Macaca mulatta: one gene and its partners. The protein of the gene in region 7 interacts with the protein of the main gene of each other region in a biochemical or structural test. Links are inferred from orthologs where the notes say so. Each region holds a gene or a part of one and is shown on either strand. Other genes may lie near its edges. The genes, in order: PBK, H1-1, USP16, CREB1, CDC25C, RGCC and CDK1.

Region 1 (4,105 bases), on a different chromosome or scaffold from region 7:
AATACTAAAACTAGACAGATATCCCAAAAAGACAACTGCAGTCCAATATCCCTCATGAATATAGACAATATGAGCAAATCAAGCAATACATAAAATATATCGTAACCAAACTGGCTTTACACAAGGAATGGTCAGTTTAACACTTGAAAATTAACATAATTTACCACATTAAGAGATTTTAAAAGGAAATGTAATAGATTCAGAAAAAGCGCTCTACAAAGTTCAATACCCACTCACGATAATAACTAGAAATAGAAGAAAACTTCCTCAAACTAATAAAGGGCATTTGTGAAAAACCTACATCTAACATAATACACTGGGAACAAGGCAAGTATTATCCACTAACGTTTCTATTCAAAAACATACTGAAGGCAGTGCAATTAAAAAAAAGTAAAAGAAACAAAGCCATACAGACTGGGGAACAAAGTAAAACTGTCTTTATTTATCCACAAATGACCAACCATATACAATATCCTAAGCAATCTATTAAAAAGCTAATGGAATAAGTGAGTTTAGGATGGTTGCAGGATACAAGGTCAATATGAAAAATCTGTCACTAGAAATGGACAACAGAATATTTTCTCATGTTATTTTCTAGAAATTTAACTTTAGCTATTTTTTATATAATGGGAGTTAAGGGTCAAGGCTTATTTTTTGCACATGGATATCCAGGTGTTTGTTGAAAAGATTGTCCTTTGTCCATTGAGTTGCCTTGGAAAATATCTTTCCCTCATAAGAGCGATGTATGGATGAGAGGGAGAAAGGTAAAGCAGTTCTTTAATGGGTCAAGCTAAGTTGATTATTGAGCAGGGAGAGCCTCCAAACCTGTTAGATTGTCAATAAAATTAGTCCAGATATGATCAAACCCTGACCTATAAAATGTCTTATTTGTTAATATTAACATCATAAAGGGGATTTACGCTAAAGTTTCTAAGTGACCGATAATAAAGAATCAAACTAAATATTACTAGGACATTTCTAAGAGAAACAACAATAGTAATAGTAAAAAAAAAAAAAAAGTCTTACATCTGCTATCTTACCAGATTTCTTTTTTTCTGATAATTTGCATGGTGTCTTGAAATTACTGATCCCTTCCATTGTGACAACCACTCTCAGTCCTATGATGAAAACAAATTGTAAGTTACACAGCAGATACAAAGAATACAACTCTCATTCATGAAGAAAAATGCCTATAGCTGGGCACAGTGGCTCATGCCTGTAATCCCGGCACTTTGGGAGGCTGAGGTGAGTGGATCATCTGAGGTTGGGAGTTCGAGATCAGCCTGACCAATATGGAGAAACCCTGTCTCTACTAAAAATACAAAATCAGCCAAGCGTGGTGGCGCATGCCTGTAATCCCAGCTGCTCGGGAGGCTGAGGCAGGAGAGAATCGCTTGAACCCGGGAGGTAGGGGTTGCGGTGAGCCAAGTTCGTGCCATTGCATTCCAGCCTGGGCAATAAGAGTGAAACTCTGTCTCACCAAAAAAAAAAAAACACAAACAAAAAAAAATGCCTATAACATTATCACTCATTTTATCACAAACAAAATTTGAGAACTAAAAAAGACCTCAACAAACATTTCGTCCAATTTTACTTAAAATGAGGAAACTAAAACCAAAAAGTATAATTAGTTACCCCTGTCATAATATTAGTGATTGGGTATTTTTAATTATAAAGTAATATATGCACTTAGCTAAAAAAAAAAAAAAATCACCTAGTACAACAAGGTAATCAGTATGTCTCCCTCTCACACTTCCCAGGAGTAGTTGTTAACAGGTCTCTTATATCCTTTAAGGAAACTGTGCAAGCAGCATTTTTCATAACAGTCAAAAGGCAGAAACAACAGAACTCTCCATCAGATGATGAATGGATAAACAAAATATGTGACATAGCTATACAATGGAATATTCAGTCATAAAAAGGAATAAAGTGCCAATATATACAAGAATGAACCTTGAAAACATTATACTAAAGAAGCCAGACACATAAAGGCTACATATATGATGATACCATTTTTTTTTTTCTTGAGACCAAGTCTGGCTCTGTCACCCAGACTGTAGTGCAGTGGCGTGATCTAGACTCGCTGCAACCTCTGCCTCCCAGGTTCAAGCGATTCTCCTGCCTCAGCCTCCTGAGTATCTGGGACTACCGGCACCCACCACCACGCCTGGCTAATTTTTATATTTTTGGTAGAGATGGAGTTTCACCATATTGGCCAGGCTGGTCTTGAACTCCTGACCTTGTGATCCACCCACCTGGGCCTCCCAAAGTGCTGGGATTACAGGCATAAGCCACCGTGCCCATCCAATGATCCCATTTTTAGGAAATGTCCAGAACAGGCAAATCATGGAGACCAAAAATAGCTGAATAGTTGCTAGGGGTGGGGAGACAAAGAATGTGGAATGACTGCCAGTGGGTATGGGGATTCTTTCTGGGGTGATGAAAAGGTTCTAAAACCAGATAATGGTTTGATATATTAATCTCTGAGTATACTAGAAACTACTGAATTTTACACTTTCAAAAGATGCATTTTTATGATACATCAATTATCTCAATAAATGGTTATAAAAATTGTCTGTGAAAATAAAATGAGGCCGGGTATGGTGGCTCACACCTGTAATCCCAGCACTTTGGGAGGCCAAGGCAGGCGGATCAGTTGAGGTCAGGAGTTCGAAACCAGCCTAGCCAACATGGCGAAACCTCGTCTCTACTAAAAATACAAAAAAATTAGCCGGGCATGGTGGCCTGTACCTGTCATCCCAGCTACTTGGGAGGCTGAGGCAGGAGAATCGCTTGAACCTGGAAGGTGGAGGTTGCAGTTTGCCAAGATCACGCCACTGCACTCCAGCCTGGGCAACAGAGCGAGATTCCATCTCAAAAAAAAAAAAAGAACGAAAGAAAAGAAAATGTACATACCACATATATAAACAAAGCAACTCAATGTGTTTCTTCCTTCTATAACATATTTAAGAATTTTTTTATTTTAAAAATTATATTTCTTTTTAAAAAATCAGGTTTCCTATTAGATTTATTTATTATAAAGCAAAACTGTTCCTACATGTCTATAAGCTCATTTATCTATATAAAAAGTTGGGAAGAAGGGGGATTTGCTTAAATTTTTTATGGAGCCCTTAATAATAGCATCTTTAAAAACTGCATAGTAAGGGGAAGAAAATCATCTCAAAGGCCTAGCTTTAACTGTCTATTAATGACAAGTTTGTTCATCTTGTTTAAAATGTAGCTACAATCACTACTGTCTTTAGATTTACCTGTACTGAGAACACTGAAGAGCCCCTTTACATGTATTTGTCAAGAATATAATAATTTTATGAAGTGATGCATTTAACTTGAAGGCAGGACAGCAGAATTTCTGAAACCAGTTTCAGAACTTTGGGGAAGGATAAACTATTTAGCAGAGTGGTTGCAGGAGGTATTTCTACTTCAAAACCAGTTTCAGAACTTTGGGGAAGGATAAACTATTTAGCAGAGTGGTTGCAGGAGGTATTTCTACTTCAAAACCAGTTTCAGAACTTTGGGGAAGGATAAACTATTTAGCAGAGTGGTTGCAGGAGGTATTTCTACTTCGGAAATAATTTCCCCATGTCATTCTGACTCCCCTTCTTCCATCTGTGTTATCTTTCCCCACAGGACGCTGTGATGTGGCACCTCAAAGATCTTCTAAGACTTTTTTTTTTTTTTTTTTTTTTTGGAGACAGTTTCACTCTTGTTGCCCAGGCTGGAGTGAAATGGTGCAATCTCGGCTCACTGCAACCTCTGCCTCCCAGGTTCAAGCAATTCTCCTGCTTTAGCCTCTCAAGTAGCTGGGATTACAGGCATGTACCACCATGCCCAGCTAATTTTTTGTATTTAGTAGAGACGGGGTTTCACCATGTTGATCAGGCTGGTCTCAAACGCCTGACCCTTAGGTGATCCACCTGCCTCAGCCTCCCAAAGTGCTGGGATTATAGGCGTGAGCCACCGTACCCAGCTTTCTCTAAGATTTCTATCTACCTGTGTGAAGCTACTCTTCATTCACTCAATCAATATGCACACACTGAGCACATACTATGTGCTCTAACAGTGCACTGTTCTACACTTTGGAAAT
Region 2 (2,552 bases), on a different chromosome or scaffold from region 7:
CGTGATTAAGCCATGAATTTTGCTTACTATCCCAGAAGCATTTCTTAGGACCACCCAATTTCGGAAAAGGCTACTTTAGCAATATTGACCCAAGAACGCAATGTCCGCACTTTAACCTTGCATAATAAAAAAGCCTCAAGCCTGGGACTAGGCTTCAACCTTGGTTCGTTACAGTTATGACTAATTAGCTTGGGGTCGTGAGATGCGGGACTTCGGGCTACTTAAAAAAAAAAAAAAAAAAAAGCAAAACAGGTGATCTAAAATTCGACTTTAACTCGGTGCATTTGAATTCACCTTGCTATCTTTGATAGCCTCATCTGGCAAGAATTTACTACTCAACCTATGTTAAAGTTCCTATTGACTCTCCAAGTGATTCTAATATAAATGAGGGCGTATTGCATTTGCTTGGGGGAATTTCATCTGTGTACTACAGCTCTTTTCCCGAAGTGTGTAGGTGGCTCTTAAAAGAGCCGTTGGGTTAGTAAAGTTTCCAACCGAATTTACTTTTTCTTGGGTGCCGCTTTCTTGGGTTTGGCAGTCTTTGGCTTCGTCACCTTAGCCTTGGCCGCCTTGGGTTTTATAGCCTTAGTTTTAGCAGGGCTTTTAGCTACTTTCTTGGGTTTTACAGCTTTGGGTTTTTTGGGACTCTTAGAGGATTTCCTTGTTGCCGCAGACTTTTTAGCATTTTTTGGAGTCTTGACGTTCTTTTTGCTAACCCCCGTGGCCTTTTTGGGCTTTTTAGACGCACCCGTTGCCTTGGTTTTTGCAGCCACCCTTGAAGCGCCGGGCTTGGTTTCCACGGAGGATGCCTTCTTGTTGAGTTTGAAGGAACCCGAGGCGCCGGTGCCCTTCGTCTGCACCAACGTTCCCTTGCTTACCAGGCTCTTAATACCCAGCTTAATGCGGCTGTTGTTCTTCTCCACATCGTAGCCTGCGGCCGCCAGCGCCTTTTTAAGAGCAGCCAACGACACACCACCACGCTCCTTAGAGGAGGAAGCAGCCTGCACGATCAGCTCTGACACGGAAGGGCCAGCAGGCTTTTTCTTAGTGGCCACCGCAACCTTAGCAGGTTTCTTTGCCTTCCTGCTAGCTGAAGGTTTCTCAGGAGCAGCAGAAGCGGCGGGAGCGGGAGGCGCCGTTTCGGACATGGTGACTAATACAGCACACCAAGTAAACTGGTATAAACCTGACCAAGCAGGATGCGAGAAAAAAAAGGCCCCGACTCAGCCTATTTATAGGGTGGGACTGCGCAGTGATTGGTGCCCGTCAGTGCCCGCCCCTCGCACCCTAGCGCCCCCTGCGCTCTGCAGAGGGTTTCCCCCAGTCTCAGAGAGCACCTGGGGGCCTCTAGGGCCTATGGTCCCGCTCCCCTCAACGCAAGCAAACACACCGAAAAAGCCGCTCCGATTGCCTCATTGTGAAGGAAATTGTAGGCCGACTGCCACCTAGTAACATCAGAGGGTGCCGCTTGTCTCTCAAAAAGCAGCTCTGTTTTAGGGAGTAGGTTGATGGGGAGCGGTTTGCAAATGCAGCCCCACAAGCATCCAGGGAGTTTTATTAGAAAGTTTTAGAGGTCCGTTGCCAGATATGTTAGTTTTTAATTTGCAAGAAATGTAAAATACAGTGTTTGAATAGTTGGGGAGGAAGAGGAAAGTGCGGGTTTTAGGCCGTGTTAGGGCTAGTAGTCATCAACTCGATTACATTTTCTGGCAATGTTTTAGAGCGATGTGTCTCGCGAATACCTTTCACGTCAAAGAAGAATGAATCGTAGACAACACCAGAATTCACTAACGCTGCAATTAATACTCAAACTGCAAGTGTGGAAACGTTTCTGCACTTGTAACTTACTTCCACAGTCCAATGTGGGATGCACTTCAGGAATTTCCAATGCCCTTTTCATCCATACAACATGCCCCAAATGGGTGTTAAGGTTTACAACCTGTGTTCCATGTCAGCACATGCAATGAGAGCACCATGACATGGTGAACTCATTGTTTTATTCAACAAAGATTTATGGGCCTCACAAACCTGCGAAAGGCGTTAAATGCTGGGTCCAAGAAACTGGTTCCCCGACAGGCATTCTGCTGGGGAGTTAAGTCTCCTTAGTGTGAAAACAAACGGTAAGTGTAAGCACACCCTGGGGATAAGATTTTATGGTAACCTCTCTTTAGCTTGTTTGTGGCTGTTAAGAGCATTTCAAATTATCAATAAGCTAAAACGATCTCACATTGCCAATCAGAGACTCAGCTAACGGGAGAACAAAAAAAACTATTAAATCGACATCCACTTCTACAATCCTATTCTGGATAACCCCCTAACACAGCGGAGAGTGAGGGAATGCGGTCTATTTCCGTTCGTGCTGTTGTAGTTTTTAAATAAGTCCGAACTGTGCTAAGTAACCTGAGCTTTTTCCCTTTTTCTTCAAACAACGTGTCAACCAAATAATTGTAGTAGTCCCAGATAACTATTGTACCCATCTTCTTTACCAGTGTTTCCTACGTCTATTTTATTGAGAAGCCACGCATTCAAATATTTCACGTAATTTCTTAAAA
Region 3 (3,484 bases), on a different chromosome or scaffold from region 7:
TATGATCATGTACGTTGTCATAGTCCTCAATGTGACTATAATCTTATAAATTGTCCTTAGCTGCCTCTTCCATTATGCCCTTCACAGCTACTGGCCCAGCTTTTTTTTTTTTTTTTTTTTGAGAGTTTCTTGCTCTGTCACCTAGGCAGGAGTGCAGTGACGCAATCTCAGCTCACTGCAGCTCTGCCTCCCGGGTTCCAGCGATTCTCCTGCCTCAGCCTCCCGAGTAGCTGGGATTACAGGTGCACACCACCATGCCTGGCTAATTTTTGCATTTTCAGTAGAGACAGGGTTTCACCATGTTGGCCAGGCTGGTCTCGAACTCCTGACCTCAAGTGAGTCAACTGCCTTGGCCTCCCAAAGTGTTGGCATTACAGGCGTGCGCCATCACGCCCAGCCCCAAATTCTTCAACATGGAGATTCTTTGAGATCGTTTGTGGCGTCCTCACTTTCTACCCCTGCCTATTCCACTCAGATACTTAGGAGGGTCCTGTCATTGGCCATCTCCTCTTTCTCTCTTCAGACACTATACACAAGGGATCCCATCTTCTCATATTTTAAACCACCACATATGTACTGATTTCTAAATCTTTGCCCTGGGCCCGTCCTAACCTCTCTGCTGTAGGTCTCAGATATGTATATCCAAATGTTTTCTAGACTAAGCACATTAATTTCTCAAAGATATCTGACACTCAAATGTATCTAACACTCAAGTTATTATCCTTTTTCTACCTGCTTTTCTCAACCTGCTTTTCTCCCTATATTTCCTACCTCAATTTACAGCACTCCCATCCGTCAAGCCAGGCCTCAGGAATCATCCTCAACCCTTTCTCTGACACCCTCAGCATCCATTTACAAAAGGCATCTGCCTCACCTTCCAGTGCCAATCAGTCATTAAGTCTGGTTAATTCTACCTCCTGAAGTAGTCTTTCTATCTCCCCATCTCCTGCCCAACTTTAAGCCCTCATCAACTACTGGCTGAATTAATGCAACAGCCACCTAACTCATTTCCCCACCTCTAGTCTTTCCCTCCTAAAATCCAGCCTCCATATGTCAATAAGTAACCTATGTCATATGCAGATCTGACCATGCCACCCAATGCTTTAAACTCCTCAGGGCTCCCCACTGTATACCTAATGAAGTCCAAGTTCTACACCATGGGAACCCTCCAAACCTTCATTCCTATCTCACTTCTCTGGCTTCATTTCTCAACTCCCCCATACCTTGTACTGTAAACTCTAGAACTACATACATTACCAGTCTCTGGCACTCACCATCCTATTTTACCCTGTTGCCTCTACTCCTGCTGTTCTTTCTGCCTGCAAAACTCATTTCATCTTGATTCATCATACTTTCACTCCTTCTTTAAATATAGTTGAGGCACGGTTTACTTTAAAAAGCCATTCCTGAACCACCAACATGCTGGGTTAAGTGTATACCACCCCTGATCTATGTTCACCAGCCTTAATATTCAACCACATTAAACTGAGATTATTCATTAATAGATGTGCCCACCTTTAGTTTTATGCCTTCAGCTCACAAGACAATGTGTGCCATAATAAAGGGGATTCTAAACGTTTAACTGAAATAACCCATTCTTCAAAATGATTCATCACTAATCTTCAAATTATAAAGGTACAATGATCAAAGACCCACTCTACTCAGTAATTGTTATCAACTTCATACTTAAGTGAGTTGCTACTGGAGCATTAGGTAAGTAAGCTATGATGTGACTTTAAAGGACTTTCCTGAAAAAGACCACTTTCACTTACCTTACATTTAAGGGTGCAAAAAGGAGCCAAATCTAAGATTTCCGGAAACTTTATGTGTTTGTTAACTTTGCGTAGGTTAAAGCCAGCCTAAAAGAGAAATATAACAGATTGACTTATTTTCCTGGAAAAGCAATACAGGTTAAGTAAACCAAAGTCCCCTCTGATGTCCAAAAGAATATCAACATTAAGTCCTAGTTCAATTTTCTTTGGAGACTCAATTCTTTCTGACCACTAACTGGTTCCAAGTTGGTTTGCTTTTGCTAAGTGCACATGTATCACACAAAAAACACATACCAACACATTAAGAAAGCTATTCCCAGCTGGGCACGATGGCACATGCCTGTAATCCCAGCACTTTGGGAAGCTGAGGCAGGAGGATCACTTGAGCCCCAGAGTTCGAGACCAGCCTGAGCAACACAGTGAGACTCTGTCTCTACAAGAAAATTAAAAAATTAGCTGGACATGGTGGTAGCCACCTACGATAGAGGCTGAGGTGGGAGGATTGCTTGAGACCCTCCAGGTCAAAGCTTCAGTGAGCCATGATCGTGTCATTGCATATCAGCCTGGATGACAGAACAAGACTGTTTCAAAAAGAAGAAAAAAAACTGTTCTTGTGAGAAAATTCTCAATGTTTCTGCTTCAGCCATCCAGAAATGCCAGATTAGAGCAGAGGTTCTGAGTGCTTAAAACTCAGCGATAGCATAATACTTTTCTGTGAAACATGCACTCTCAGCCTCATGCTCGAACCAAGCTTAGTGAATTGCTAATAAAGGCCCACCCAATTACTCAAGCCCATACCAACCACAAGGGGAAAAACGTTCTGAAGATACTGAAAGTACTTTCGGAATCTGGAACACAGTTTAGAAGTTATACAGCTATAGCAAAAGTTTTCCAGAAAAGACAAGGTCACCAAAATGATGACAATCCGAGGCACCACTGTCTTTTCATCAAGGGTCCATAAAAATAAGATGCCACACACAAAACAGAAAAGATAAGCTAATATTCCTAAGCATGAGATATATGTAATACACCAGTCTTTTATTTTATTTAACCTGAAATAAAAGTAAGATGCCAATCTTACTAAAAAGAAGAACATGAATTCTAGGAAATCTGAGGAGACTGTGCCTCCACCTTCACATGCGCCTCTGCCTAGCCCCTATTTTTTTCCCTTTCTGACTTCATTGACATTAGAGTTGAGAAACAACAGAAAACCAAAGAAACATAGTAATATGTTGAGACAGTAATGAATAAAATAGGTAATAAACAAAATAGGTGTTACATATTTAAAACAAATTTTGGGTAACAAGGAGTACCTGCTGAAATCTCTTTAAATGAAGAGTAAGAACAGGAGGAGCAAGAGAAATTAGCATCTGCTTTTTGGCATTGGTATAAACATGCTTCCTTTCACCTAAAGAAAAGAAGAAATTTTTAACAGGGTGAAAATCATTTTGGACCCCTACAGCATTCAGGTTTACTATAAAATCATTTCAAACATCCAAAGCAAGGATCAGTAAACTTTTTCTATGAAGGACCAGATAACAAACACTGTAGAATTTGTGGAGTAAGAAGCAAAATCAAAGATATTTCATAAGTACTTATACGAGATAAAAATGTCCATAAATTCTGACTGATGAAATCAAAATACTGTAATAACTGAGAATGATTACAATCAAAGAAAAAAGTGGAATTACTGTGGAGAGACACAATATTTT
Region 4 (3,500 bases), on a different chromosome or scaffold from region 7:
TGACTCGGGTGAGTTACTACTTTGTATCTTAGTTCTTCCATCTATGGAATGCATATAATAGTATAGTACCAAAATTTTTATTCACTTTATTACTTTTCAGTCTAGGGATTCTTCTCAGAAATGCATAGTTCTTTACCTTGAATTTTTACTTAAACATGATTATAGAATGCTAACTTTGAAACATGTTAGGAGTTTTTCCTAACTTGCTAGGAACAACTGTCAGGGATGTGATGATGGATCGCCAGTCTTACTGTATAACTGTAAATATATTCATAAGTGTTTATAAAGTTAAAGAATAATATTTGTATAGTCACTATATAGACTTAGTACCAAATATTTAGCCATCCATTTTATCCCTTATATCAGAAACCTTATTTTAGTTGGTAGTTTTGTTCCAACAGATGTAAGAAAAAACTGATAAGTAATACTGATGCATTCAGGATTGATTACATGGAGTCCTGAAAAAAAATTAAACTGTAGCTATTTTAGGTTCTCTAACTTCATCTTAGTTTATAGGGTAAGTAAAGGGAAGGGGAGAGTGATTGGTATGGTTGTCTCCCATAAGAACTGATTTTTTTCTACTGAAGCATGTATAAAGTTTATATATGACTTTTTGTATTTGACTGTTTAACAAAAATTTTATAGGAACTAAATTTGATTATCAAGATAAAGTTTTTATTTATTTTCAGATTTCAACTATTGCAGAAAGTGAAGATTCACAGGAGTCAGTGGATAGTGTAACTGATTCCCAAAAGCGAAGGGAAATTCTTTCAAGGAGGCCTTCTTACAGGTATGGATTTTAATAGTTAGAATCTAAGATGTGTAGGAAGTCTTAGGTAGTTGCAGATAAAGAGATGTCAGAAGACCAGTTAGTTGCTCAGGTCAGTTCTTTATAGATTACTTTTCTTCATCTTGAGTTATTTGTCTCAAATAAAGTGAAGCTTATCCTACAGAATAAGAAGAGCACTTGTTACTCTCACCAGTCCTGATTTTTTTTTTTTTTTCTGTTTCTGTAGACTGTGCTGGCTGTCTTTCTGTTGAAAAATGTGGAATACATTTAATAAGGTTATAGCATTTTTTAGTTATAAGCCAACTCTGAGGCTCCGTTATTTATCTGCTTAATAACACATTGCAAACCATTTTTTATGCCATGGTGTTTAACAGATAGCTATTAATTTGATAATTGTCTCAGGAAGATGCTTTACTAACATCCCCTAATTTTAGGGGTAGTTTACTGTAATTTTTGTGTTCAGTTATTGTTGTTGCCTAGTCCATGCCTTGCCTCCAAGGTGAACCAAAACCGTTTTTTAGTGTAAAAATTAGCTCCACATTAAGTATCCCAGGAAGGACAGTTCCATAAATCTTGACACGTTTACTTGAGCATTTAAGAAACTTCAGACTCATAATTATCTTCCTTCTTGTTAGTGTAAATTATTTTTATTTTTATATATTTCTGTTTTTCAAAGGGGTAGTTTTTTCCCCCCGCTTGGCTATTAAACTAACCCCTTTCTCTGTCCTTACAATTAAATTAAGAATCCTAAGTGACTCACAATAAATTGATTTTGAGGTCTAAGAAATCTTATATTACCAGTATATGTTATATGTATTTATATTCATAATTTATTTTAAGTACAGCTAGTGTTAGATTTTAACTTTGAAGTGTATCTCATGTTAGTATATAACACATTTGATCCTGAAGCAAATCCAACCAAATACTACTAGTAAAGTAATTACCTAGGTAAATATAAAAGCCAGGATTATTATAGTTTTGGTTTGTAACTCCTTTTTTCCTATGTGATTTGAAAGACAAAGGCATAAAACAGTAACTATAAATTTATGTGAATAAGCACATGATATAGGAAGATGTCATTTTTTATAATAGCATAAAGGGACAGAGTTTATAACTATTTTGTTACAAATTTAAGATATCAAAAATTACTTGGGTTGGGGTTTTTAGGGGGTTTTTTCCCCGCCTTTCAGTGTGATTATGTTGTTCACTTGAAATATGGTATGGTTCTTCTGTTTTGGGGTTCCATTTTAGAGTTTCTCCACTCATCCTTGTCGCTTTTTTTTTCCTAGTGAGTGAAACATTTAACACTGTACCAAAAGTCAGAATTGCACAAAAAAGTATACTCAGTAGTGCCTCCCCATTCCTTCTGTCGTTTTCATTTCTTTCCTACCCATCCCCAGTAAATAGCTAAAATCATTACTTTCTGGTTTATCCATCCCGATTTTTTCTCTTGAACAAATGAGCAGGTACATGTACATTTTCTTATTTCCCTTTTTTCCTTACACAAAAGATATGCTATATCCATTATTTGGATGTACCATAGTTTATTCAACCACTCGCCTATATATAGGCATATAGAGTGTTTCCAGTATTTATTTTCCTTTTTATTTTTTTTTTTTCTATTTTAGACTTTGGATATATATCTCCACTATTCTGCAGTTACAAACAGTGCTAATGGAAATAATCTTAAGCGAGTTTATTTTCATATTGTTGGAATTGGGGTGAATTCCTGGAAATGGGATTGAGGCATGAACACCTATATTTCCTTAAATTTCACCAATTCCTTATATCGGGGTTGTGCCAGTTTCATACTCCCAGCAGCAATGTATGAGAGTGTGGGGGTTTTTTTGTAGCTTTGCTAACAGATATTGTTAAACTTTTTTGTTTCCCAATCTGAAAAGTGAGAATTTAAAAATCAGGTTTTGATCTTTTTTCCCCCTTAATTGATTGTTGACTTTTTACTTTCCGACTGTGTGTGTGTGTTCTTTGAGATGCAAAAGATTTTTTTTAATGTAGTCAGTCTTATTATTACCCTTAATTGCACCCTTCCTTACGTTGATATTAAAGAGAATCCATCTTTTTTTTTTTTTGTACTTACTTGGGTTCATTTTGACGTCTAGATCAATCCCTGACCCATGAAGAGTTTATTCATGTAATTTATATATTTTAAACTTCTGCTGGCTGGGTGCAGTGTCTCACACCTGTAATCTCAGCACTTTGGGAGGCCAAGGCAGAGGCGAGCAGATCACCTGAGGTCAGGAGTTCGAGACCAGCCTGGCCAACATGGTGAAACCCTGTCTCTACTAAAAATACCAAAAAAATTAGCCAGGCGTGGTAGCAGGCACCTGTAATCCCAGCTACTCGGGAGGCTGTTGTGGGAGAATTGCTTGAACCCGGGAGGTGGGGGTTGCAGTGAGCCAAAATCGTGCCACTGCACTCCAGTCTGGGCAACAGAGCAAGGCTCTGTCTCAAAAAAAAAAAAAAAAACAAAAAAAAACAAAAACCTTCTGTCCTAAGCACTACCAGCTTTCTGTCAGTTTTCTCATCTTTAACTATTATTTGTATTTATCCAGTAAATTTTACTTATATTTTTAATTATTCTAGTTTTCTAATTTTGTAGGAAAATTTTGAATGACTTATCTTCTGATGCACCAGGAGTGCCAAGAATTGAAGAAGAGAAGTCGGAAGAGGAGACCTCAGCACCTGCCAT
Region 5 (3,500 bases), on a different chromosome or scaffold from region 7:
CGAGACTGCGTCTCAAAGAAAAAGAAATACATTGTCATTTAATTCTTATATGTTTTATATAAAATATTCCAAAAGGAATGTTTCATAAGTTAACCTTCCAGAATTCTAATTTCAGATTTTCTGAGTGATAATCTTTCTTTTCTACTCATAAAAAAAAAAAAAAAAAACTCCGTAGGTAGCAAAGTACAGTGTTTCCCAGCACTACTTCTTTTAGTGACACATAAAACCTTAAGTTTCTGTGAAATTGTACCTTGTACTATGAAATGGGTATCAATCGAGAGGCTTTGTATTCAAAAGCTCAGTCCTTGAAATTAATATGGCTTACTGGTAATGAAGAAAATCTGAAGGAAAAACAAGATGCATGGACAAAAATAACTCCTTTTACTGATTTTTTATATTTGATTGCAGGTCACCTGGATTCTTCAGGACTTCAGGAAGTGCATTTAGCTGGGATGTAAGTTCTGTTGCTAAATGAACCCCATGCAAAAGCTTTTTAGCACTGGTCATAGAGATTTTATCCTGTGCGGACTCTGCAGAGTGCAAAACCTTTCATATTGGGTATAAGTGGGCTTTGAGGCCTAGTTCCTTACCTTGAACAGTTTCTAAGGTTTCCAGATCTAAATAGTGTTGTGAAAATGAAGGCTATTCATTTTAACTGTCATAATCAGAAGTATCTATAAGGAAATGAAGGAAAATGGTATACTACACTTATATAGGCTTTTATTTGAATGTGAAAAGTGCTGTATCTTAGTAATTCAAAGTACAGAGTGGCCAGGCGCGGTGGCTTACATCTGTAGTAATCCCAGCACTTTGGTAGGCCAAGGCAGGCGGATCAGATGAGGTCAGGAGTTCAAGACCAGCCTGCCCATCATGCAGAAACCCCGTCTCTATTAAAAATACAAAAATTAGCCGGGTGGGGTGGCACATGCCTGTAATCGCAGCTACTTGGGAGGTTGAGGTAGGAGAATTGCTTGAGCCCGGGAGGCGGAGGTTGCAGTGAGCAGAGACCGCACCACTGCCCTCCAGCCTGGGCGACAGAGCGAGACTGCGTGTTGAAAAGAAAAAAGAAAGTACAGAGTGTAGGCTCTGGAATCAGTGTCTGGATTCCTGGCTTACTACTTCATTCACCAGTTGTGACTCTGCTTTAGACCTTAATTTTTTTTATTTGTAACATGGAGACAATAATAGCACTTGTCATAAAGTAGCTATTGTAAGGATTAAATAAACTGTGTATCTAACACATACCAAGCATTTTATTTATGTATTTATTTTTATTTTTGAGATGGAGTCTGGCTCTGTTGCCAAGGATTGAGTGCAGTGGCGCCATCTTGACTCACTGCAACCTCTGCCTCCCTGGGTTCAAGCGATTTAAGCGATTCTCCTGCCTCAGCTTCCTGAGTAGCTGGGATTACAGGCATCCACCACCATGCCTGGCTAATGTTTGTATTTTTAGTAGAGATGAGGCTTCACCATGTTGGCCAGGCTGCTCTTGAACTCCTGACCTCAAGTGATCAGCAACCCCCTCGGCCTCCCAAAGTGCTGGGATTACAGATGGGAGTCACCTGGCCCCGCCTGAATTGCTTTAAATGCTCTAACCCAGATAGATAATGAAATCCACAGAGGGAGGATAGAAATTTATATATAGATATGTTTTTTGTTTGTTTTGTTTGTTTTGTTTTTGGAGATGGAGTCTCACTCTGTTGCCAGAATGGAGTGCAGTGGCCTGATCTCAGCTCACTGCAACCTCCGCCGCCCAGGTTCAAGCGATTCTCTCACTTCAGCCTCCCGAGTAGCTGGGACTACAAGCACACGCCACGATGCCCAGCTAATTTTTGTATTTTTATTTTATTTTTTTATTTATTTTTATTTTTTTTTGAGACAGAGTCTCGCTCTGCCGCCCAGGCTGGAGTGCAGTGGCGTGATCTTGGCTCATGCAAGCTCCGCCTCCCGGGTTCATGCCATTCTCCTGCCTCAGCCTCCCGAGTAGCTGGGACTACAGGCGCCCGCCACCTCGCCCGGCTAGTTTTTTTGTATTTTTTAGTAGAGACGGGGTTTCACCGTGTCAGCCAGGATGGTCTCGATCTCCTGACCTCGTGATCCGCCTGTCTCGGCCTCCCAAAGTGCTGGGATTACAGGCTTGAGCCACCGCGCCCGGCCAATTTTTGTATTTTTAATAGAGACGGGGTTTCACCATGTTGGTCAGGATTGTCTCGATCTCTTGACCTCGTGATCTGCCCGCCTCGGCCTCCCAAAGTGCTGGGATTACAAGCATGAGCCCCCACGCCGGGCTTTTTTTTTTTTTTCTTCCAGACGGAGTTTTGCTCTTGTTGCCCAGGCTTGAGTGCAGTGGCGCGATCTCGGTTCACCACAACCTCCCCCTCCCGGATTCAAGAGATTCTCCTGCCTCAGGCTCCCGAGTAGCTGAGATTACAGGTATGCGCCACCACGCCCAGCTAATTTTGTATTTTCAGTAGAGAGACGGGTTTCTCTGTGTTGGTCAGGCTGGTCGCGAACTCCCAACCTCAGGTGATCCGTCCGCCTCAGCCTCCCAAAGTGCTGGGATTACAGGTGTGAGCCACCCCGCCCGGCCAGAAATTAAATTTTTTTAAAAAATTAGCCCTGGCCGGCACGGTGGCTCACGCCTGTAATCCCAGCACTTTGGGAGGCTGAGGCGGGCGGATCACAAGGTCAGGAGATTGAGACCATCCTGGCTAACATGGTGAAACCCCGTCTCTACTAAAAATACAAAAAATTAGCTGGGCGTGGTGGCGGGCGCCTGTAGTCCCAGCTACTCAGGAGGCTGAGGCAGGAGAATGGCGTGAACCTGGGAGGCGGCGCTTGCAGTGAGCTGAGATCCTGCCACTGCACTCCAGCCTGGGTGACAGAACCAGACTGTCTCAAAAAAAAAAAAAAAAAAAAAAAATTAGCCCCAATACACTGTGCTGGAAAATTAGTAAATTGTATAAAACTCGTTCATCTTTGGTACATGTTTATTTATATGGTTATACAGGCAAAATGAGGGTCTTATCCCCAAGATATCACTTGAGTCTTCATATTTACCACAGAGAATACCCTATGTATTGTTGTTGGAAGAGACATATCAACTGGGAATAGGGCTCCTAGAATGAAATTTTAAAAATGTTGGGATGCACCAAATCCACTGAAGAATAATCAAACAGTATTTGGGGCTAACCTGACAGGCAGTTTGTTTTAATCTGCAGGAATCATCACCAGCACCTAATGAAATGTAGCCCAGTGAGTAGCCTCTCTTTTTTGGGTTTGGGTTTGCTTTTCAGGTGGGAGACAGAGGGTTTCCATTGCACCTGTGACTTGATGCGGGACGTTCTCAGCAAACTCTTTTTTAGGCACAGCTTCTCTGTAGCACTCCGAATGGTTTGGACCGTGGCCATAGAAAGAGAGATGCAATGTGTAGCTTATCTGCAAATAAAGAAAATGTGAGTGTTTAATGGAAACCTAGATATATTGGCAGTTTTATTTTT
Region 6 (4,075 bases), on a different chromosome or scaffold from region 7:
TGTGAGAGAAAAACTACACATTTAAAGCAAAGACAAATGTCATCTGAGCTTTCTTTATATTCTTCTCATCACTTCTCTAACCACCAAACTACGGGTTAGTCAGTTAACAACAAAAGCAGAAAACAAAATAGACACATATAACCTAAGTAAAACTACAAACTATCCCAACTATCTCCCCTGCAACTGTTAAGAATGTGTTTCTATGCCTTCTCTTTAAGGCATCTGAAAACAGATCCTAGATCTGAAATCCCACTCAGTGGAAGCTGCAATCAGCCATGAATGGGCACTCTTAGACCTATTCTAGAGGAGTGAAGCTGTTGCTTAGAAAGGAGCTGTTCTTTGCCACAGAGCTGCAGTGACACACTGTCCCAGCTTTCTTTTCCATGGGAGAATCTGTATTTGATGAATAACTTGCTCCATGCCCCAGTAAAAGGAGACATATTTAAGTTTGGCCTTAGGAATTGAGACAAATTTCCAGAATGTAAACACTTCGCTTTGAAACTAAAAATGAACCTGTTCATTAGGAACAAAGTCCAAAAATTCTAAGTGGAAAAGTAACAGTACTTTCTTCCATCCCCTTTCACCTCAAAAGCTGCAGCTTGGTCTAACTCTCTGGCAATGCTGCCAAGGAAACTCAAGCTGGAACTCAGCTTTCTGAGTCAAACCCTGACCAGGGTGGTGAGTGCATTTATCCCTTTGCAGAAGAGCAGCTCACATTCAAGTCTAGCCCCGAATCTTAGCCCAGGAACAAGGAAGAGTTCCAGGTTTCAAAATAAGAGAATCACAAGGAAAGGCCATTACTTTCACGTCCTGAGTCAAGGGCAGCAAAAGGAGTGACATTCATGCCTGTAACCCATCTAGGGATTAAAGGTTGAAGAATAACACAGAAGAGTTTAAAATTGACTTTGCACTTTGAAAAACAGTAAGTAATTCTGGATTTGAAACCAACAATCATGTAATACTAAAAAGGCACCTAATTTGCTGTTTGAATCCTCCCGGGACATGTGAGCTCCTGGGAGAAGCTGTCTCTTGTTGTTGTTGTTGTTGTGTTGTTGACAAAGTTGTTCAGGACAAAGAGACCCTGGGGTAGTCTCCATTGTGAGAAAGGTCACCAGGAAGCACCTTCATGCCCCTGTGCTCTCTGGCTCCCCCTCCAGCCTGGTGGAGGACCTGGCTGAAAAATACTTGAACTCAGCAGTGCCAAAGATTTTCATAACTGCATGCGATGGAGCAACAAGTCTGAGCGCTCAGGGCCAGAAGAAAATGCAAACAGTTACTTCATAAATCCCAGGAACAGCCGTTTGGGCTTATGAAACCTTTCCTGGTTTCATGAATATTTCCGTTCAGCGCCCTCCCATGTCCCCACTGTGCCCCCTCATTCCACTGGCACCTATTCCACATCTGCAAAGTTACAGGGGAGAGGGGAGAGGCACGGGAAAGGAGAAGAGGAGGGAAACTGTGGAAAGGCCTGGTGCAGGTCCAGGGAGTCCTGTCTGGCTCAGTCGGGACAAGCTGCTTAAACTCGCCTGCCTGGTGACACACCTGTGGACGGCAGGTGGACCAACCTGCCCTCCAGCGACCCCTCCCGTGATTATCGTCAGGGGCCCCGCCACTGCTCGGCCTACTGCTTTGAGCTTCAGGACTAGGTTCCTGGACACCATTCCTCAGTTTACAGATAAGAAAACTGAGGCCGCAACCTTCGCGGGCCAGGTGCTGGGAACTGGGAGATCCCGGCGCCATCCTAGCGGGGGCCGCACTTACTCTCCGAGTCGCTGAAGCCGCTGCTGTCGCTGACGCTGGCGCTGCTGCGCCGCTTCATGCGCTCCAGGTGCTCCTCGTAGTGGAAGTGGCGCTCGTGGAAGGGCGACGCGAAGTCGGCCAGCACCGCGTCAAACTCGCACAGCGCGTCCGACAGGTCCTCCGCGGCCGCCGAGTCCAGGGCCGGGGCTGCGGGCAGGGCCGGGGACTCAGTGCACGGAAGTCAGGGGGGCAGCGAGACCACCTCCCAGGGCCAGGAGGGGCCTCCACGGTTCCCGAAGATAACTGACACTTGGCGCCTCTGTCAAGTGACAGCCACGCAGTCGCTGTTACCTGGTAATCTTCTCCACCATCCCCGAAGTGCGTTCTATTACCAAGTCCGTTTTACAGACAAGAAAACGGAGCCTCCGCCAGGCCCAGGGTCACACAGCGACTTGGCGCGGCCAGACTCCTCCCCACGCTCGCCCCAACCCGGGGCGCGCGCGGAGCTGGTGGTGGCGGGAAGGTGGGACATGGGGGCCAGCCCGGGCCGGGAAGGAGGCTGCAGCCGCCCGCGCTGGACGACAGGGGACAGGGTCCCGCCTGGGAGGATGGAAGGGTGGCGGGTGTAAAGGGACGACAGGGGGCGCCTCCTTTCTCACCCGCCATCTGCAGAGCCGGGACTTTAAGGGGACCCCGGACCCCGCACTCACCTGCGGCCGCGGCGGCCGCGGGACTGCCCTGCGCCGCGGGCGGCTTCATGAGGCGGCTCAGCGGGGCCCGGCGTGCGTGGCCTTGGGTCCTGCGAGGTGGCAGCCTGGGCTATTCCGGGGCTCGCTGTCCCGCACACTCCCGCCCTGCCAGTCCCTTCGGCGCTGCGCTCCCGCCGCGCCGCTCCCAGCACGATCCGCGCCAGCCCTCCGGCCGGCCCCGGCTCCTAGATCTTATAGCCGCTGGCGGTCGGGCGGAGGCGGGGCCGGGGCGGGGCTGCGGAGCCGAGGCGACGGGTCTGTCTCCACCGCCCTCCGAGGAGGCCCCTGCCCCCAGGCACCGCCCTCGCCACGCGCCCCTCCTGGAACCGCAGTGACGAGGAGTCGCCGAAGCCCGGGTTACAGCCCCAAATATTTACCCGCCTGTCGCCCGCGCGCCCTGACAACCCGGCCCACGCGGTGTCCTCGGCGTCACCAGAGCTGACTGCTGGGCGCGAGCTCCGCTGCTTCCCGCCGCGTGCCGGGCACCTCCGCGAGTCGCAGTTTCCTCGGCTGTGCAGTGGACGTGGGCATGCAGAGCCTCCCTGGCTGGCGGCGAGGGACGAAGGAGCCCGCGGCCGTGGCCCAATTGGGTGTCGGGGACGCGGAGGTCCCCTCCGCATTGTCCCAAGGGGACTTCCGAGATGGTGGGCGGGCGGAGTGGAGACGGTCGGGGGCGAAAGGAGCAGAAGTTGGGGGAGTCCTGAACTGTTCCCACCGCGGAGCGCGGGGGCTTGAACTACGGTCCAGGACGCTCCCGCCAGCCTGACTTTATCCAGAAGGGGGTTATTATGGGAAGAAACTACTGCGTCCACGCAGCGCGAACCGGGCGCCTTGCAGTGTCCACCGAGTAACGAGCCACCCTGCCCCGCGGCCTGCGGGGGCAGTCCCTGCCCTGGACTCTGCGCTGAGCTAAGCGCTAGTCTCTCGCCGCAGACGGCTAATTAAATGTAGAGCAATTAACATGCAACGTAATGAAACACTCAACCTCTCCTTAGCACTAGAGACGTTTTGAGCGCTCAGCAGCCTTCACGGCAGGAAGTTCTGTCGGGCAGCGCTGCGAGGGCTCTGACCCACAGACTCAGAGGGAAGGAGGCATCTTACGCCGCTGGTCGAGGGCCTCTGAGGCGTCAGGACTTGGTGTGCGCAGTTTCCAGCTCCTGGCAGCAGCCCTGAGCGGTGAAATTATTGCCCCTGTTTTGCCAGCGGGAAAACTGAGACGCAGAGAGGGTAAGTAGCTGGTCAGTCACTTAGTGGTAGAAAGGCAGGTCTGTGTTGTTTGAGAGACACTTTCGGCCTCACTACCCCCTCCTCCTTCCACAGGGGGAAGCTCTGAGTTCCTGCAAGGTGGACAGCTGGGCAGCCAAGAGGAGAAAGAAAGAAAGCAGAGAACCCAGGTCCTGGAAGCAACAGGGCAAGGCATCTGCAGCTTTCATTTTGTCTTTTCCTTCCCTTTTTCTTTATCCCCTTTTACATTCTTTTTTTCTCTCTCTCCATCCCTCATTCTCTTCGACCTGCCCTTGGTACCCACTGGTGATGCCCTGAGCTAACAGACCAGCAGCCAATCTGGGAGCTGAGGCCATGGGGCT
Region 7 (4,061 bases):
TTTGTTTATTTTAAAAAGATTTTAGAATGGTGTTTAGGTTGGGCTGGTGGCTCACACCTGTAATCCCAGCACTTTGGGAGGCCAAGGCAGGAGGATTGCTGGAGCCTAGGAGTTGGAGACCAGCTAGAGCAACATAAGGAGACACCGTCTCTGCAAACAAACAGGCAAAAAAAAAAAAAAAAAAAAAAAAAAAAAAAAAAGTAAGAAAGAGAGAAAGAAGGAAAGAACAAGAAAAAAATTAACTGCATTAAATGCAGAAATCTGTCTTAAGGATATTGTGGATGGCAATGAAGACAGAGTTTTTGACACTGGATTATTTAAAGCATAATTTAAACCTCTTTTTCTCCCCTCATAGAATTGTGAATTTTTGTGTTTTAATAATATTTAAGCTGGTCATGGTGGCGGGTGCCTGTAGTCACAGCTACGCTGGAGGCTGAGGCTGATTGCTTGAGCCCAGGAGTTGGAGGCCAGCATGCATAGCATAATGAAACCCAGGCTCTAAATACATGCCTCTCTCTATATATTTAAAATTCTGATGTGAAAATATTTTAAAATTTACATTTCAAATGTTTTTAATTGCATAATACACAAAATGTAAATAATAAAATAATTTAATATTAAATTCAAAAATGAGGTAGAAACAAAGCACAGCGATATAAATAATAAATCTTCCTTTACAGTTTTGAGACAGTCTTTTAAGTTTTCCATTACCTTCTTAAGGTCACTGAAAGGTGCTCCTTGGAGCCAGCCCGCAAATCACGCATTTAGAAAAACATAACTATACACTCCTAACCCTAAGTATTAGAAGTGAAAGTAATGGAATCTCGATGTAAACCCAATATCACTTTTTTGATGAGCTATTTTGAGGATAATAATTTTGAACTGTGCCAATGCTCAGAGAAAAAATTTAAAAGAAGAACGGAGCGAACAGTAGTTTCCTGCTCCGCTGACTAGAAACAGTAGGACGACACTCTCCCGGCTGGAGGAGAGCGCTTGCGCTCGCACTCAGTTGGCGCCCGCCCTCCTGCTTTTTCTCTAGCCGCCCTTTCCTCTTTCTTTCGCGCTCTAGACACCCGGGAAGGCCAGCCTAGCGTAGCTGGGCTCTGATTGGCTGCTTTGAAAGTCTACGTTCTACCCGATTGGTGGATCCGGGGTCCTTTAGCGCGGTGAGTTTGAAACTGCTCGCACTTGGCTTCAAAGCTGGCTCTTGGAAGTTGAGCGGAGAGTTACGCGGTTGTGGTAGCTGCCGCTGCGGCCGCCGCGGGATAATAAGCCGGGTACAGTGGCTGGGGTCAGGGTCGTGTCTAGCGGATGGCCCGGGGACCTCGAAGGGCGAGTATTGAAGAACGGGGTCCTCCTCTAAGAAGGCCGGACTGGAGAGCAGGGACCTGCGCGGAGCCAGGCTGGGCCTCGGGGTGGGGTGGGCAGGGCCTTTGCCTGGGCCTGGGCGTGTGAACCACACTGCGCCGGCTTTAGAGGGAGGCTATGGGAGCCCAGCCTGGCGGGGTTAGGCGGCGTGGGGGTGGGGGTGGGGGTTCGGGGCTGCAGTCGTGAGTTCAGGTCGGCTGTTTAGGAACTGCCTTAGGAGGCTTTCGGGTCTTGATTGAAGCAAAATCCGCTCCCCCACACTGAGCGCCAGCGGAGTGGCAGGCTCCTTCCTGGGCCCGGCCCCTGAGCGCCCTCCCATCCCGCCTCGGAGGTGGGAAAGCGGGACCGCACCTGGGCCAGGTACAGGCGCAGATTCCTAAAGCGAGGCTGCCCTGAGAAACCGATCCCGGAACTCGTGGGCCTTCTGGGGCTTGCTCTGCCCACGGCCCCGGCCCACCTGGAGCTGTTAAGAACACTCAGCCCAGGCACTTAACACTCATGAGCAGTGTAGTGCAGTTTTTTTCATTTAAAAAGATATATCTCTGCTTCTTTCTGGATTGATTTTTTTCTTTGAAGATGAATGTGGGAAATAGAACTTAAAGGTCTGTTCAGAGCGGGCTTTATAAATGATCTTATCATCAGTGATGGGTGTTAGAAAAATCTAGGTAATTATGCCTGGAGTTCTGACGTTTCATTGACAAACTTCAGAGGAAGTCTTGAACTTCTGGTTGTTTTTTGTTTTTTTTTTAAACCCATTCATTGTGATTCAGGTATACAGTTTTTCTGCTTAGTCCTTGACATTGTGTAGGCTATAATTAGAATTTTATCTGTGGAATTGCACTTTTCATTCTTTTGTTTTAGGGTGCTTAAGTGATATTTCCGACTCTTGGAAAAAGTACCTTGAAAGTCTTGAGCATGTTTGTGACCTCTGCAAGCAGAGGAAAAAAAGATTAAAATTGTCACGTGGGCAACTGGAAACGCTTAAAATGTTTTTGCCGCTTTAAACAAAATTTTCCTAATGAACAATCTGAACACATTTTAGTTCTCCCCTTATAACTATAAAAAATAGTGTTTTGAATAAAATTAGAAATATCATAAAGCGGTATAAATTTGTTGAAATATTTGGGTATAACTTTGGCACACTCAGATACTAGTGTCACAACAAGGGAACATAATTCTGGTTTTTCTTTGGAAAGAATAGACAAGTTGATATCTGAATTTGAGGGTTATTTTGATTGGAAGAAGCTAAATAAATACTACACTAGTATAGAATATACACGTTTCCAATGTCTCAGGAGTCCAGAAGGATGGAAAGTTATTGTAGGAGTCCTTACCCTTGTAAATATTGTTTGAATGTAGTTAATATTTATGGAATACTTATGTACTGCAGTAGGCACAGTGGAAAATGCTTTACATATAGTGTAATGCTAAAAACTACTCAAGTTAGTGGCATGTAATTAAGTCAGTTTTTCCTTCATTTTAGGATCTGCCATACCCATTGACTAACTATGGAAGATTATACCAAAATAGAGAAAATTGGAGAAGGTGAGTGGTTTTAGTAATATAAATTTTTGGGGATGATTTAACAATGCTACAACTTCTGTAATATGAACACATGTAAATATTTATTAAAATTCAACCATTAAGATGTCTTGTAGTACCAGTGTGCATTAATATATGTTCTTTACTTAATAAACGCAAATTTGTTCACATTTCAAGAGAATTGAAATTACTGAATCCCTAATGACCCATCCCTTCACCCCCATAGTCTTACAGTCTTCTGATACTAAAGAAGTATCAGAAATACTTGTATTTTGAAGACACTATTGATGACTTGCACATGTGTTGAGGGGCAGAGGTTAGGGATGCAGAATTATGCTAATTTCATAGTCTATTTTTAGTCTCTTTCAATTATTTTTAGGATGATAAATATTCTTATCCAGCCTTTATAGACTGGTTACAATAATTGACTTAATCTAATTTAAATAAAATTTCTATTTAGTTACCGTAAGAAAAAAATGACCTGTCATATGTACATGTTTAAGCTATTCTAAAACTATAACTTACGTATATAATCATTCCCTTTCTGTGGTACTTGAAGGAATGATCAGATCTATATATGGCACAAATGAGGGGTATATCCCTTCGCCTGTTCCTTGACTCCAACAGAACATTCTCAATTCTCCAGGTACAAAATAATTTGCTAGTAGAATCCAGTTTATATCGGTTCTGCCAGAAGGAAATTCACAACTATATTTTTAATGTGATCAAAGACCTCACTTGACAAGAAATAGTAAAAAAACAAGGGGGGAATACTGGAGGGAATTTAGTGAAATAGGAATGACAAGTTAGTGTGGTGTTCGATTGGAGGGGTGTGTGTGTGTATTTATTTTTATTTTTAAACAAATTAAATACCTCATACCCATTCTACTAAACACATTTTGCTGCTGAATTAAAAATAATGTGATTAGTATGTCTAATGCTTTGTAGTATGTTTCTTAAATTCCCAGGGAATTTGTGTTGATTTCAGTTTGGCATAAAAAGAGACCTTCTTAAAGTATAAATATATTTTTCTTTAAGATGATAGAACTCCAAACCTATAGGAAACTACAGATTTGACTTCTGAGAAAAGTACTTTAATTGCTACCATAAATAAGAGCAGTTAAGAATGTAATTTTAAATGTAATCCATTA

What was found.
Region 1: the proteins of CDK1 (region 7) and PBK form a complex in vitro, tested with the Homo sapiens proteins (2 studies listed by BioGRID and IntAct, with this or other methods). The link is inferred for Macaca mulatta from reciprocal best matches to the Homo sapiens genes CDK1 and PBK.
Region 2: of the proteins of CDK1 (region 7) and H1-1, one has a biochemical effect on the other in vitro, tested with the Homo sapiens proteins (23 studies listed by BioGRID). The link is inferred for Macaca mulatta from reciprocal best matches to the Homo sapiens genes CDK1 and H1-1.
Region 3: of the proteins of CDK1 (region 7) and USP16, one has a biochemical effect on the other in vitro, tested with the Homo sapiens proteins (3 studies listed by BioGRID). The link is inferred for Macaca mulatta from reciprocal best matches to the Homo sapiens genes CDK1 and USP16.
Region 4: of the proteins of CDK1 (region 7) and CREB1, one has a biochemical effect on the other in vitro, tested with the Homo sapiens proteins (2 studies listed by BioGRID). The link is inferred for Macaca mulatta from reciprocal best matches to the Homo sapiens genes CDK1 and CREB1.
Region 5: the proteins of CDK1 (region 7) and CDC25C form a complex in vitro, tested with the Homo sapiens proteins (3 studies listed by BioGRID, with this or other methods). The link is inferred for Macaca mulatta from reciprocal best matches to the Homo sapiens genes CDK1 and CDC25C.
Region 6: of the proteins of CDK1 (region 7) and RGCC, one has a biochemical effect on the other in vitro, tested with the Homo sapiens proteins (2 studies listed by BioGRID and IntAct). The link is inferred for Macaca mulatta from reciprocal best matches to the Homo sapiens genes CDK1 and RGCC.

Annotation. Positions count from the first base shown.
Region 1 is NC_133413.1:29,573,026-29,577,130, forward strand, and holds the start of PBK (lymphokine-activated killer T-cell-originated protein kinase), read right to left. Parts: upstream 2,801-4,105; 5' UTR 2,759-2,800; coding exon 2,752-2,758; intron 1,119-2,751; coding exon 1,041-1,118; intron 1-1,040. UniProt on the Homo sapiens protein: Phosphorylates MAP kinase p38. Seems to be active only in mitosis. May also play a role in the activation of lymphoid cells.
Region 2 is NC_133409.1:157,091,530-157,094,081, reverse strand, and holds H1-1 (histone H1.1), read right to left. Parts: upstream 1,149-2,552; coding exon 501-1,148; downstream 1-500. UniProt on the Homo sapiens protein: Histone H1 protein binds to linker DNA between nucleosomes forming the macromolecular structure known as the chromatin fiber. Histones H1 are necessary for the condensation of nucleosome chains into higher-order structured fibers.
Region 3 is NC_133408.1:18,448,037-18,451,520, forward strand, and holds part of USP16 (ubiquitin carboxyl-terminal hydrolase 16), read right to left. Parts: intron 3,181-3,484; coding exon 3,086-3,180; intron 1,860-3,085; coding exon 1,773-1,859; intron 1-1,772. UniProt on the Homo sapiens protein: Specifically deubiquitinates 'Lys-120' of histone H2A (H2AK119Ub), a specific tag for epigenetic transcriptional repression, thereby acting as a coactivator.
Region 4 is NC_133417.1:112,832,371-112,835,870, forward strand, and holds part of CREB1 (cyclic AMP-responsive element-binding protein 1), read left to right. Parts: intron 1-672; exon of another isoform or gene 673-689; coding exon 690-790; intron 791-3,410; coding exon 3,411-3,500.
Region 5 is NC_133411.1:147,191,334-147,194,833, reverse strand, and holds part of CDC25C (M-phase inducer phosphatase 3), read left to right. Parts: intron 1-408; coding exon 409-454; intron 455-3,221; coding exon 3,222-3,255; intron 3,256-3,365; coding exon 3,366-3,455; intron 3,456-3,500. UniProt on the Homo sapiens protein: Functions as a dosage-dependent inducer in mitotic control. Tyrosine protein phosphatase required for progression of the cell cycle. When phosphorylated, highly effective in activating G2 cells into prophase.
Region 6 is NC_133422.1:20,846,429-20,850,503, reverse strand, and holds the start of RGCC (regulator of cell cycle RGCC), read right to left. Parts: upstream 2,801-4,075; 5' UTR 2,500-2,800; coding exon 2,451-2,499; intron 1,948-2,450; coding exon 1,762-1,947; intron 1-1,761. UniProt on the Homo sapiens protein: Modulates the activity of cell cycle-specific kinases. Enhances CDK1 activity. May contribute to the regulation of the cell cycle. May inhibit growth of glioma cells by promoting arrest of mitotic progression at the G2/M transition.
Region 7 is NC_133414.1:89,039,122-89,043,182, reverse strand, and holds the start of CDK1 (cyclin-dependent kinase 1), read left to right. Parts: upstream 1-1,261; 5' UTR 1,262-1,277; intron 1,278-1,309; exon of another isoform or gene 1,310-1,332; intron 1,333-2,851; 5' UTR 2,852-2,876; coding exon 2,877-2,913; intron 2,914-4,061. UniProt on the Homo sapiens protein: Plays a key role in the control of the eukaryotic cell cycle by modulating the centrosome cycle as well as mitotic onset; promotes G2-M transition via association with multiple interphase cyclins.